Linked DNA regions of Arabidopsis thaliana. The protein of the gene in region 1 interacts with the protein of each later gene in a pairwise test. Each region holds a gene or a part of one and is shown on either strand. Other genes may lie near its edges.

Region 1 (6,527 bases):
TCAGAACTCTTAGATTGCAATCAAAGCTAAAGTAACCTCCGAAAGTTTCGCAGGGTCGATCAAACGAGAAGAATCGTAGAACTAGAGTTTCGCATCCGATCAAAAGTTCTCAGGAGCAAATAAAGATTTTTCGACGAGAAGTCTTGTTTCTTCACTGCCGATTCATGCCGATGTTCTCAATCTCTGCTTTACCAGTTCGCTGCTGAACCGGTCTGATACAAACGTGACATGTTCTGTACCGGAAGTCTGAACCGGTTAGATTGTGTTATTGGTCAACGTTTGGTTTGAGACTTTCTTGCTTCATACTGTGAGAGTGTGTGAGGATTACGATAACCTCTCAGGCTCTGTTTCATAATTTCGTTTTCTTTCTTCACAGCTAATTTTGTTCATACAATTATAAGATTGTCCAAATTTACTTTCATCTCTATAATTTCTCATAAATCAATGAGAAAACCAATAAATCCAAATATATTTATATAAACTCATGTATGATGTGCTTACTTTCAAACTAAAAACAACAAGGGAAATATTTCAAGACCCTGTGTTAGTCAAAAGTACAGACAAACGAAAATTAAACTTCTTCAGTAGCAACTTCAGAAACCACCTCTTTATATTCCTTAGTCTCTTCATCGTACCTGTACCTGCACGCATATTTTGTAATCAAACACATAACCAGAATTGAGCTGATAATCGAAATTATGAACACATGAATAAAGAGATTAGTAATGGGTTTTCAAAATTCTAAACTCATCCCAAGTAAATTTTACCATTTTCCGGTTGTTGCGTAGCAGTAAAGTCCAGTGTTCGGGTCATAATAGTAACCAAGGCTGCTGCTGTAGTAGTACCTGCAAAACCATTTATAGAATACTTTTAGATAAATAAAATTGAGATTCATAATGAATATTGCTAGCAACACAATACTTCGGACAAAAAGCTGACTTATGCAACAAGAGAGCGCGAGAGGAGAGTATATACAAACATACCCTGAAGATTCATCAAACACATAATCAGAATTAAGCTGAGTGCCCGAGATGGAGCTAGACGGTTGTAGATCAGAGGAAGGTTCAGGAGCATTCTCATCATCGCCAAACATATCACAAGATACTATATTGGCAGTCCCATTTTCTTTCGCTTGAGCTAGTCTCTCATATCCTTCTAAAAGACCAACATAGAGAAGAAGAATGTGAAAAGTCAAGCCAATTGTTCCCGAATGTTGTGAAAAGGTGATATCACAAAGCAGAGGAAACGTAGCTACATCTACAGCTGATATTGAAAAAGTATTAGAATCTCTAACCTGCTTCACGTTGGAAAACTTCTTGCTCCTCATGATAAACATCTTCAATACATAAAAAGAGGAACACATATATTAACAAATGGAGGACATCATATTTGTTGTTGAAGTAGCATAAGTTATTAGAGACTTACTGTAGTCGCCGTTCTCGATAAGCTTGTCCGCATCCTCAGTAAGCTGATCAAAGATAAGCTTGGTCTCAGATGTCATCTTCTCCTTGCGATTATTCGAATTCCCTTTCAACCTCCTTAAAGCTCGCAAGACCTGTAACATGAAACCGATTTATTTTACGTGTTCGAAGTATGTATAATCAACAATGCTATATTAAGGTGACATTTTTAACTAATACAATCCATGTTTCATGTTTGAAACAAAAACTTGTTAAAACGCAGAATGAGTCTCACCGTTTCTCCTGGTTCAAGGACATTAGCAATGCGCCTCTTTCTAACTCCGATTTCATCTTGAGAAAGGTCATCCCCTGCTTTTTCGTTCCCACTATCATCATCCATCTCAGTATCATTTGCAGCAGATCGTCCCATATACATTGGATTTTTTTCAATACTGTCAAGCCATGCATCCTGAAAGAAAACACATATAATGAAAGACAATACACAAGATATCTTGGAGCTAAGCTTTACAATGAAAGATGTGTACCTTGACTTCCTTTTCTCTAACATATTCTACAAAGTTCCCATCAGCATCAAAGTAACCTTCTTCTTTCTCTCTGTCCAGACTAAAAGCTTCAATCTGGATCCCATCTTCTGTGCGATTGCCATCATCCTACAATGAAATAAATCACATCAGCATAACTCTTTTTGCAAACAAACATCATTGAGATCTCGCAATATACACAATTAGCTTCCAGGAACAGTCAACAAACAAAAAGAGGATAGTAGAAATCCTACCTCATAAGTCTCCTGAGCCTGATTAATATCATCACTGTCATCTTCGATAAAGAGCTTAGTAGTATTCTGATTGCGAATCTTTGCACGCTCCTTAGCAGCATCACGGGCTTTGCGGCGGGCTAAAGCTTCTTCCTCTAAGAGCTGTTCAGGTTTCGACTTCTTCCCCTTTGGAAACCGTACTCGCTTTTCGCTGCCAGAGAGAATCCTCCATTAGAATCCACATTATAGCGTATGCACACAAACTCAAGTTGTAACTGAGACAAATTTCAAAGCTGATTAATACTCCAAGTTCAAGACAATCATATGTTTGGCATTCAATTTCAGGTTCAATGTCTAAGTCTAACAAAATTGAGGAGAAGAGAGAATCAGATGGAAGAAACAAGAGCTACTAATTCAATTTTTCCTACCCTAAAACTGAGTCAATCAACCGGAAACGAAAAGAAGAAACACGTATCGTCATGCTTAGCAGAACAAAATTGGAAATTAGGGTTTTCGGAAAAGATTGTAAACTTACGGAGGTTGTTTATCGGAATCTTCATCTTCTAAGAAGGATCGTTTAAGGTTCCTCCTCGACGAACTATCTGCCATTGCACAAGCGTTAGACGAGAACAACGACGATTTGTTTATTTCCAGGCGGTGAGAATCGCCGTCGAGGGGAAATAAGACGAAAGCATGAATTCTCGCCGACGTTTACAAATTGGGCCGTATTAATGGGCTGAAAAATGGGCCTTAAAAAGCGCGCTTAACGTTTGGAATTACTATGTCTGTTTCCTTTAATTTACCGGTTTACTTTTTTACCATGGTTAGACTAAAACGCCGCCGTTTTGGCACAGGCCCTAATTTATGGGTTCTCTCCTTAATTGGTGATCATCCTCCTTCTCAAGCTGTTGGCCGTCATTGAACTTGGAGTCACAGGTCAGCTTCTGATTCTTAATTCTGTGAATTTTTCGTTTCAAAATATTAACCGAATACTTGAATAATCGTAACTAAATATTCTTCTGGGGTTCTTTTTATTTAGTCGAAGTGTTTGAATTCAATTGCAATGGAGCAGAAACCACCAGTACGGAAGGTTTGTGTTTGCTATCATCGTTAACTTCTCATGTTAGATAAAATATTTGGCTCTGCTAAATTTTCGATTTTGCGTTCTTCTGCAGATGAAGTTTGCCCCAAAAGCTCCACCCAAACGTGTGCCAAAACCTGAAGTTAAACCGTAAGCAACACTAATGACTGATCTGATTAACATAAACAGATGTTTTTCTTCTGAAACTTTTGAATTATGAATGCAGTGAAGTGGTTGAGGATAATAGTAACAGTGCACAAGCATCGGAATTGCTACGCAGAGTTAATGTAAGCTTTTTTTTTTTAATCGTTGAGTGAAATTGTCTTTGCTCTTGTGTCTTCTTACTTACTCAGTTCTCTTTAATTTTGATTTTTGTTTGCCTTAGGAAAGATCATTGCGCAAGCCAAAAGCGGACAAGAAAGGTAGTGTCTTTAACTTGAAACTCAGACTCGTATCTTTACTCTGTTTGCTGCTACGTTATCTAGTTGTAAAAAAAAACATCACTTTGATACATCACTGATTTAGTTTTTGTTATGTATCATACAGTTCCTGCTTCTCAAGTTGCTTGGTTGGGGGGAGTGGTGAATTCAACCAGATCAAATAAGTACCTCAATAGATCAAGTAACAATTTCTTTTCTTTGTTTAAAACATAGGCAATTATATATTTTAACAAAAAAAAACATAGGCAATTGTATTCACAACACATCACAAGTTTTTGATAATTCTGCGGGGGTGTTGATACATGCTGGTTGTTGTGCAGATGGTGCTTATGGATCAACCTCTACTCAGGAGATAGAGTATAAAGAACCATGGGTCGGTATAACAGTACCCTGTCCCTAAAGTTATATCTCGAACTCATATATCGATAATGTTGATGCATAATTAATTCTTGGATTGTCTCACAGGATTACTACAGCTATTACCCTATCACACTTCCAATGAGGAGACCGTATGCAGGAGATCCAGGTATTCATATATTTGCTTGAGAAGAAAAATAAAACAATTTTGTGAAAGCAGATTCTTGATTACCATTTGCCTATGTTTAAGATGCTGCTCATTATTGCAGAGGTTCTTGACGTGGAGGAGTTTATGCAGGCTGGAGGACATCATGAAGATTCACTTAACACAGCCGCTAATCTCGGTCTAATGGTTAGTGACATTACATATAAAAATTCGATAAACCAAAACTCACACGCAAACTCTATAGTTACATAATGTGGATCACTTGTTGGCAGGAGGATAGTGGAGAACAGAAAATGTTTTTTATGAGGCTACCTTCTGTTCCTTTGGCATCAACACCAACAGAAAACCTTGAAACAAGGCCAAATATCAAAGGCCCCGTTGAGAAGAAGACTGTTGATTTAAAAGCCTTGCCAGAAGGTTACATGGGCAAACTGTTAGTCTACAAAAGTGGTGCTGTCAAGATGAAACTTGGGGAAGTGCTTTATGATGTGAGTGATTCTTTTTCCGTTTACTAAGTATTCTATGACCATAGATCCTGCAATATGGTTTTTACCGGGCATAATACTAGCTAATATCTAGTAGGGGTGTTCAATCCATGTTTTTGGTTTTACGGGTTTGGTTCGGATACAGAAAAAGTGAAACCATTTTAATCGTAGTAAAAGTCTAACTCGGATTTGTGATGGGATGTTGTAGGTAAGCCCAGGGTTGAAGAGCGAGTTTGCACAAGATGTGATGGTGGTTAACACAGAGCAGAAGAACTGTTGTCTGGTTGGAGATGTGTACAAGCATGCAGTTTTGACTCCTGATATTGATTCAATCTTGAAAGATATCGAAAATATATGATATTCTTTAACTATTTTTGTTCCATCAATTTTTTCATTCTTTCTTTTTTTTTTTTGGTAGTTTGTTTTCATTCTTCTTCATTCATAGTTTTTTGACATTGAGAAAGAAATAAAAAAAGAGTTTTGTTTTACTTTCAAGTTTCAATAACAACAAGAAGCAGGTTTCTACATTTGAAGTTTGAACCAATCCCTTAAAATCTCCAATACAATGGAAAACTGACCCACTGGAATCATTGTATGCAAAATCATTAATAAAAATTACTATATTTAATATTTAGTCTTTAAACATATAAACCCAATATAGTTAAAAAGAAAATCTTGGCATTTGTTTTCTTGGTATGAATGGTAAGTTTTATACCATTTTTAGAATTTTGACAGAAGGTTACAGCAGGAAAAAACAAAGATAAGTACATTACAGCAAAGCAAAGTTTGAATACAAATCCTTCTACTTTAAGAAGAGAGTTTTAAGAAATTACATGGTCATTTTTCTACCTTTTTTTTCTTTTCTTTTGTATTCTTCTAACAAATCTAATCATTTTGGTAACAACGTTAATCTCGATGATAGATTTTAAAAAATATTTTGACCAGAAAAAAAGAAGAAGGAAAGAACTCTTAATATAGGATAAAATCCAAATAAAAATGAGCAAGGATCTTTACATTGAAAAGAACCAAAAAAAATTACGCGTTACACATGACGTGTACACCAAAACCGACGTCGTCTCTATCACTTGAAACCCATATATAAACACAGCACATTTCACTCATTCTATCACAACTCTCATTTTCTTCTCTCTCGATTCTTGATATATCAGTAACCAAAAACACAGAGAATTAAAACATGGCTTACTTCTCCACAGCGACATCTCTTCTCCTCCTCGTCCTCTCTGTTTCCTCTCCTTATGTTCATGGAGCCTCCGACTGCGACACCCTTGTGATTACCCTGTTCCCATGTTTACCTTTTATATCGATCGGGGGTACGGCCGATACACCCACAGCTTCATGCTGCTCCAGTCTCAAAAATATTCTCGATACGAAACCGATATGTCTATGCGAAGGGTTGAAGAAGGCACCTTTAGGAATCAAACTCAACGTTACTAAATCTGCTACTCTTCCCGTTGCTTGTAAACTTAATGCTCCTCCGGTGTCAGCTTGTGATTCATGTTAGATTTCTCCTTTATCTCTCTGTTTCTCGTTTTTCTTCTTGATTTTTTTATGGATTATTTATGATCCTTAAGATAAATCAGATTATGGATTCATAATAGAGTTTTTGTTTTGTTTTGGTTGCAGTGCCTCCTGCTAGTCCTCCTACTGCTAATGGGCAAGGTATTTGTCTTTCTTTTTGTTGATTTCATTCTTTAATCTGCTTTTTATCATGCCATCTAAATTGTTATTTTTTGTTAAGGGAAATGGAATTTGTTTGGACTCTTTGCTTGAATCGAGTTTTGGTTGGCGTTATAACGAAGTTG
Region 2 (6,094 bases), on another chromosome or scaffold:
TCATTCAACTTACTGCTTTTGCCTGTTAAAAGAGTTTCTATACTCACTTGAATCATCACTCTGTTTACCCCACTTGTAGGTTCCATGCATTCTGGGTGTAAATCTATCAGATGTTGATCTATTAGAGTTTCTTCAGCAGGTACACTTAGAATCGTGTATACACACATGGCTACTCTTTTCTTTTTCGTACTTTAAATTCTTACTCAACGTTTGCAAACCAGCTTGCTGATACTGACGGATCATCAACTATTCCTCCATCTGTTCTTCGAGTCCTAAATTCCAAAGCCTGTAGAGGTAGTATATTCCTTATCTCTTCAGAATTGTTTTGTATGTGCAAGGATGAGTAAGTGACTGCCATTCATCACTTAGTTTCTCGGCTGATACTGTGTTTTTCTTACAACTGCTAAGGTGCAATTATGTTTGGAGATAGTCTGTTACCGTCAGAATGCTCTTTAATCATTGATGGACTGAAGCAGACCTCACTTTGTTTCCAGGTGCGTAAGAAACATCAAATCCTACCAAAGGAATTCATCTCTTTAATCAAATTAACCCATTAAGTCTGTGTACAGTGTGCTCATGGGCGACCTACAACAGTTCCTCTTGTCGATTTGAAGGCATTGCACAAACAGATAGCAAAGCTCAGTGGAAGACAAGTGTGGCATGGCTTACAACGCAGAGAAATTACACTTGATCGTGCAAAATCACGCTTAGACAACGCTAAAAGTTAAAAAAGTTGCAGCTGTATCATAGCCTTCCCAGGTTGCTATACTCTTTAGTCATACTGTAAATCTTCTACTTGGATGTATAGTTGTATTACTCAGCAAATAACTACTTTCTTACAGTACCCGTAGACAGTGTAAAGCTTTTATAGGTTAATAGTACTACACTAGAGAGTTTGTAAGCTGATATAACTCATTGTACTCTTTGCATTCGATTTAATATGTACAAAAGAAAAGTTCATTGACAAATGATATCCAAATGTTCACCACTCAAAGAGTTTTTTTCTTTTTTCTTTTTTTGTGTCAAGTCAATTCTCCCATTACAGAACATATTGTGTGATCATCTTCCAAACAAAACTGCCAACAACAAGTAACAAATCTACAAGTTCTCTAATCACAACTGCAGTTAACTAGATACATCATGTTCTTCTTCAGCTATCGTTTCACTTTGGTGGTCTGTACCGATAGCAGCACACAATGCTTTCCAAATGGGAACCAACATCTTCAATGGAGGACGCAGTTCCTGTCCAAAGAGGAAATTGAACTCAAAATCAATTGCTATAAGTAATATTCCCGAATTGAATAATTGGTAACTCTAGATTGTTTCTCAAAGTTGTCAGCAGAAGTTTTTCTCTCACAATGTAATGAAACAAACTGGTGCCATTACCTTAAACACCAATGTAAGTTGTTCTTCACCACGAAGAAATAAAGAGAGACTCCAGTAACACGTAATGGGAGTGACACATTCGACCAACACAGGCTTCAAAATCTTGTCAATAGGGATAAACCTGGAGACAGTTTTTCCACTGCAAAGCAGAAGCATGCACAAAAAAGTAGGTACTTGTATGATTGGTAAAACTTAAAAGCATAGATCATAATGGTTCATGATAATTACAACAAATTCAACCATTACCACCTATCTTAGAGACCACTAATACGGAGTAGTTCAAAGCATTAAGCCATCATGGAGTGCAGACAACAGAATACTAACTAAATGGATAAAGCATACCTTAAATATTGAGTTTCAAGTTGGATCCCGAAGGTTGGCAAGATTATCACAGATTCTGAAGAAATCAAAGAAAAGCTAGAATTAGTTAAAACGTGAAGCTGATATCATTTGGTAAGCCTGTAAAGCGTGTATCAGGATGAACCAGGATCTCACCTTTCTTGACGAACTTGCGACTATGTAGCATAACCAAGAAACCACTTAAAAGGCAGCCCCAAGAAAGAGTTCTAGCTGGATTGTCCTGTTTCATGTGAATTATCCCTTTCAACTTAAGTGAAGAAGAAACAAATGGAACAACAACAAAACAAGCTTGTAAAGTAACACAAAAAAAGAAAAGTGCTTTTATACAAACCTTGTCATGTATTAACATAATGCTCACAACAGAATGAAAATATCAAACTATACTCCATCACCAATCCTAAGAAACAAAATGGTATGCCTTTCTCATGATATGTACTAGCAACACTTGTTCTAAGCAATGCATCAGAATCACTCAAATGTCAAGCAGATTCACATCAAAATAACAAACGGCAACAACCAAATTTTCTCTAAGAGCATAATTACCTTTCCAAGCAAAAAGTACATAGAACTCGCCAGAAACACAAGGAAGAAACCAAGCCCCCAACGACGGGCATAACCAGTTCCGCTGCTTCCGTTGATAATCACATGGTGAATATCAATGGCTTCTCTAGTTGACTTACTTCCACTTTCGTGTATGTAAGTGTATCTCTTATTCGAAACAGACAAGCTCACCATTTCAAAGCTAGTTTAGTTGAAAAACAGTCAAATGTATCACCGTCGTTTTACTCCCAACTCATATACGAACCTGCCCAAGGTTAGCTTTCTCAATACCCAAGTAACAATTTTCAAACTTTGAGTCTCAGTCAAATCGGATAGCAACAAAACTTCTCTGCGGCTTTCCGTCGAACACCATGCGTGCGTTATAATAACCCCTCTTGAAATCTCATAAATCTCTCTAACTATCTCCACACAACTTCCTCGAAAACACAGTAGCAATCTATCAAAAAGGACGAAGCAAGGATTCACCCAACGAACGAAAGCCACAATTCTTCGAATTGATCAAATCTGAAACCGGCTTCTCTTACCGGTAAAGAGATAAAAGACGGCACTATGGTGGAGGAGACAACAAAAAGCCAAAAGAGAGAAAATAATACAAACTGTGTGGCGTCCTAAATAAAACACCCTGGCGTTTTTGTTTTATTCATATTAACATCATGCCGTTTTCATCTCGACAATATAAAAACCTAGCTTATTTTTAAGGAAAGGTCAAATCTTAATTAGTTTTGATTTCTCTCTCCAGTACTTCTCGATTCGCCGGCGATCCGAATCTCATTCTTCTGCTTGTCGGAAAAAAAAACCCGTAATTTAAAGTGTGAAGCTTTCGGTTTGAATCATGCGTTGCAAGAGATGCAATGGAAGCAACTTTGAACGCGACGAAGACACGGGGAATTCGTATTGCGGTGGATGTGGGACATTACGAGAGTATGATAATTATGAGGCACAACTTGGCGGCATAAGAGGACCTCAAGGTACATATATACGAGTAGGCACCATTGGTAGAGGCTCTGTTCTTGATTATAAAGACAAGAAGATCTATGAAGCCAACAATTTAATTGAGGAGACAACAGAAAGATTGAATCTTGGTAATAAAACTGAAGTGATTAAGAGTATGATTAGTAAGCTTACTGATGGGGAATTTGGACAAGGTGAGTGGTTCCCTATTTTGATTGGAGCTTGTTGTTATGCTGTGGTAAGAGAAGAAGGGAAAGGTGTTTTGTCTATGGAAGAGGTTGCTTATGAAGTTGGATGTGATTTGCATCAGTTAGGGCCTATGATTAAGCGTGTTGTGGATCATCTAGATTTGGAATTGCGAGAGTTTGATCTTGTGGGTTTGTTTACCAAGACGGTTACTAATTCACCGAGATTGACTGATGTTGATAGGGATAAGAAGGAGAAGATAATAAAGCAAGGGACTTTCCTGATGAATTGTGCGTTGAAATGGTTTTTGTCGACGGGGAGGAGACCAATGCCTTTGGTTGTGGCTGTTTTGGCGTTTGTTGTTCAAGTGAATGGTGTGAAGGTAAAGATTGATGATTTGGCGAAAGATGCTAGTGTTTCGTTGACTACTTGTAAAACGCGGTATAAAGAGTTATCTGAGAAGCTTGTGAAGGTTGCTGAAGAGGTGGGTTTGCCTTGGGCGAAAGATGTTACTGTGAAGAATGTTTTGAAACATTCAGGAACTTTGTTTGCTTTAATGGAAGCCAAGTCCATGAAAAAGAGAAAACAAGGGACTGGGAAAGAATTAGTTAGAACTGATGGATTTTGTGTGGAGGATTTAGTGATGGACTGCCTAAGCAAAGAATCTATGTATTGTTATGATGATGATGCTCGTCAAGATACTATGTCTCGGTATTTTGATGTAGAAGGTGAACGTCAGCTTAGTTTATGTAACTATGATGATAATATATCGGAGAATCAGTTGTCTACAAAGTATAATGAATTTGAGGATCGAGTTTGTGGTGGGACTCTTGCGAAAAGAAGTCAGGGAAGTAGTCAGAGTATGTGGCAAAGGAGATCTGTTTTTGGAATGGTGTCAACTGAAAATTGGTGGAAAGGGAAATCGGAATTGAGTAAAAGGCTTTTGCTCAAAGACTTGTTGGAGAAAGATGTAGGGCTTGAAGCTTTGCCTCCTTCTTACATAAAGGGTTGCGTTGCAGTTGAAAGACGAAGAGAAAAGATTAAGGCAGCTAAGTTGCGGATTAATGCAATACAACATCCTTCTGACAATGTTAGTGAAGGTGCGTTGTCTTTGGAGCTTGAACATAGCAAGAAGAAAAGGAAGAAAGGATCTGAAATTGATTGGGAGGATTTGGTTATACAGACTCTGGTCTTACACAATGTGAATGAGGAAGAAATAGAGAAAGGCCATTACAAAACTTTGTTAGACTTGCATGTTTTCAACTCTGGAGAGGTTTGAATTGAAATGTTTTTCTCTTGGAATTTTTTTATTTCTTACAGTATAATTCATTTAAGGATGTAAAAATCGTTCTGAATGCAGAAATTATCAAAGCAAGCATCACAAGACGATTCAACAATCCATGTAAATGTTTCTCTGAAAATGATTAATAAGATAAACTACTTGTTTCTTTAATAAGCCCTGAAAGAAACAATTTAAGAAAAACAAAAGTCTAATACTGCTTATGACTGACTACCAAATCCATTTCATTGATCTCTCTGATAATTAGAAGTTTCCTCAGCTTGTATTCAATCAGCCTGACATGCCATAATCTTCAACATGATCATAAAGGTTGTAACTTTCCGCCAGTCCCATCTTTCCAACAAGATGCTCATCCCCTACAAACACAAATCACAAGAAATTATCTGAGACAGACACAACTTACTTGACTATTTCTTCAAAGCCAATGTCTCTGTTTTTTTCAGTTACGTGTGAACTAAAAAGGTATCTTTGTTACTTACTTGGGTTTGATAGAACATCTAGCAAGTGAAGGTCTGAGCTAATCTCAGGGCTCTGAAAGCAAAGATCTTCAGGCCTAGGAGCAGTAGTTGTTGCTGTTGTTGTCCCTAACCCATTATTGTTGCTATTTCCATCTGGAAGACCAAGAAGACTCTCTGGCCTCACTACTCTCTTCTCATTCAATGCTTCAACTTCAGTCTCTACCTCAGACTCACCATTATTATTTCCAGAAGAACCTCCACCATGCTGCTTCCTCTTGGATCGAGCACGTCGGTTCTGGAACCAGTTATAGACATTTTGTTCAGCAATCTGGCCGTGTTGGCTCAGCTCTTCTGTTATGTCTTTGATCTTCTGCTTGCTCGGTGTTCCCGTGCCTTGATCGAATATACGTTCCAGAATCTGAAGCTGGACTGGCGTAGGAGTCCACCTCTGTCTAGCTGTCATCTTATGACCTAAAGATGACATCATTGGGTCTGCATATAGTCCTCCCATTCTCCCTCCTGTTACCAACAACAGACAAATGAGCAGAGTTGTTAAAAGTTAAACTAAATAAAAAAACTGAAACTTTATATCTCAAGAACACATCATCAAGCTAAAAACACCTATTTTGGTGGGAAATTCTCGAAGCTCAATTGAAAGATTCAAAGGAGTGATTCTAGAATTCCTCAAGAACCATTATTTTCCTTATTCTTAGCTCAAAAATCCACGAAAAGGATTGGTCTTTGAATCAGATTTAAGCCAACAAATGCTTAAAAGGCAGAGAATTTTCAATTACCCATACACCAAAGTGAAGAAGAATCACTAAAAAATCAATTAAACCACACAAAAATTCTGAATTTTTTTAAAAATTTCAAAAGGAGTCCTTTTTTTATC

The links.
Region 2: the proteins of AT5G09380 (region 1) and AT4G35540 interact in a two-hybrid assay, tested with the Arabidopsis thaliana proteins (one study listed by BioGRID).

Annotation. Positions count from the first base shown.
Region 1 is NC_003076.8:2,909,848-2,916,374, reverse strand, and holds AT5G09380 (RNA polymerase III RPC4), read left to right. Parts: upstream 1-3,050; 5' UTR 3,051-3,111; intron 3,112-3,214; 5' UTR 3,215-3,238; coding exon 3,239-3,265; intron 3,266-3,350; coding exon 3,351-3,406; intron 3,407-3,482; coding exon 3,483-3,543; intron 3,544-3,641; coding exon 3,642-3,678; intron 3,679-3,767; exon of another isoform or gene 3,768-3,789; coding exon of another isoform or gene 3,790-3,802; coding exon 3,803-3,877; intron 3,878-4,016; coding exon 4,017-4,069; intron 4,070-4,161; coding exon 4,162-4,222; intron 4,223-4,322; coding exon 4,323-4,405; intron 4,406-4,491; coding exon 4,492-4,707; coding exon of another isoform or gene 4,708-4,734; exon of another isoform or gene 4,735-4,912; coding exon 4,913-5,062; 3' UTR 5,063-5,198; downstream 5,199-6,527. Other genes in the region: AT5G09390 (CD2-binding protein-like protein), read right to left, coding at 572-641, 768-845, 984-1,155, 1,295-1,336, 1,426-1,555, 1,696-1,869, 1,946-2,071, 2,197-2,386 and 1 more; AT5G09370 (Bifunctional inhibitor/lipid-transfer protein/seed storage 2S albumin superfamily protein), read left to right, coding at 5,900-6,221, 6,349-6,384.
Region 2 is NC_003075.7:16,870,800-16,876,893, forward strand, and holds AT4G35540 (POLLEN-EXPRESSED TRANSCRIPTION FACTOR 2), read left to right. Parts: upstream 1-3,035; 5' UTR 3,036-3,139; coding exon 3,140-4,723; 3' UTR 4,724-4,799; downstream 4,800-6,094. Other genes in the region: MLH3 (MUTL protein homolog 3), read left to right, coding at 80-139, 222-294, 409-494, 570-728; AT4G35530 (phosphatidylinositolglycan-like protein), read right to left, coding at 1,126-1,242, 1,387-1,525, 1,729-1,783, 1,882-1,966, 2,290-2,481; WOX13 (WUSCHEL related homeobox 13), read right to left, coding at 5,015-5,100, 5,224-5,721. UniProt on the Arabidopsis thaliana protein: Plant-specific TFIIB-related protein that plays important roles in pollen germination and embryogenesis, possibly by regulating gene expression through interaction with TBP2 and the subunits of RNA polymerases. Binds double-stranded DNA in vitro.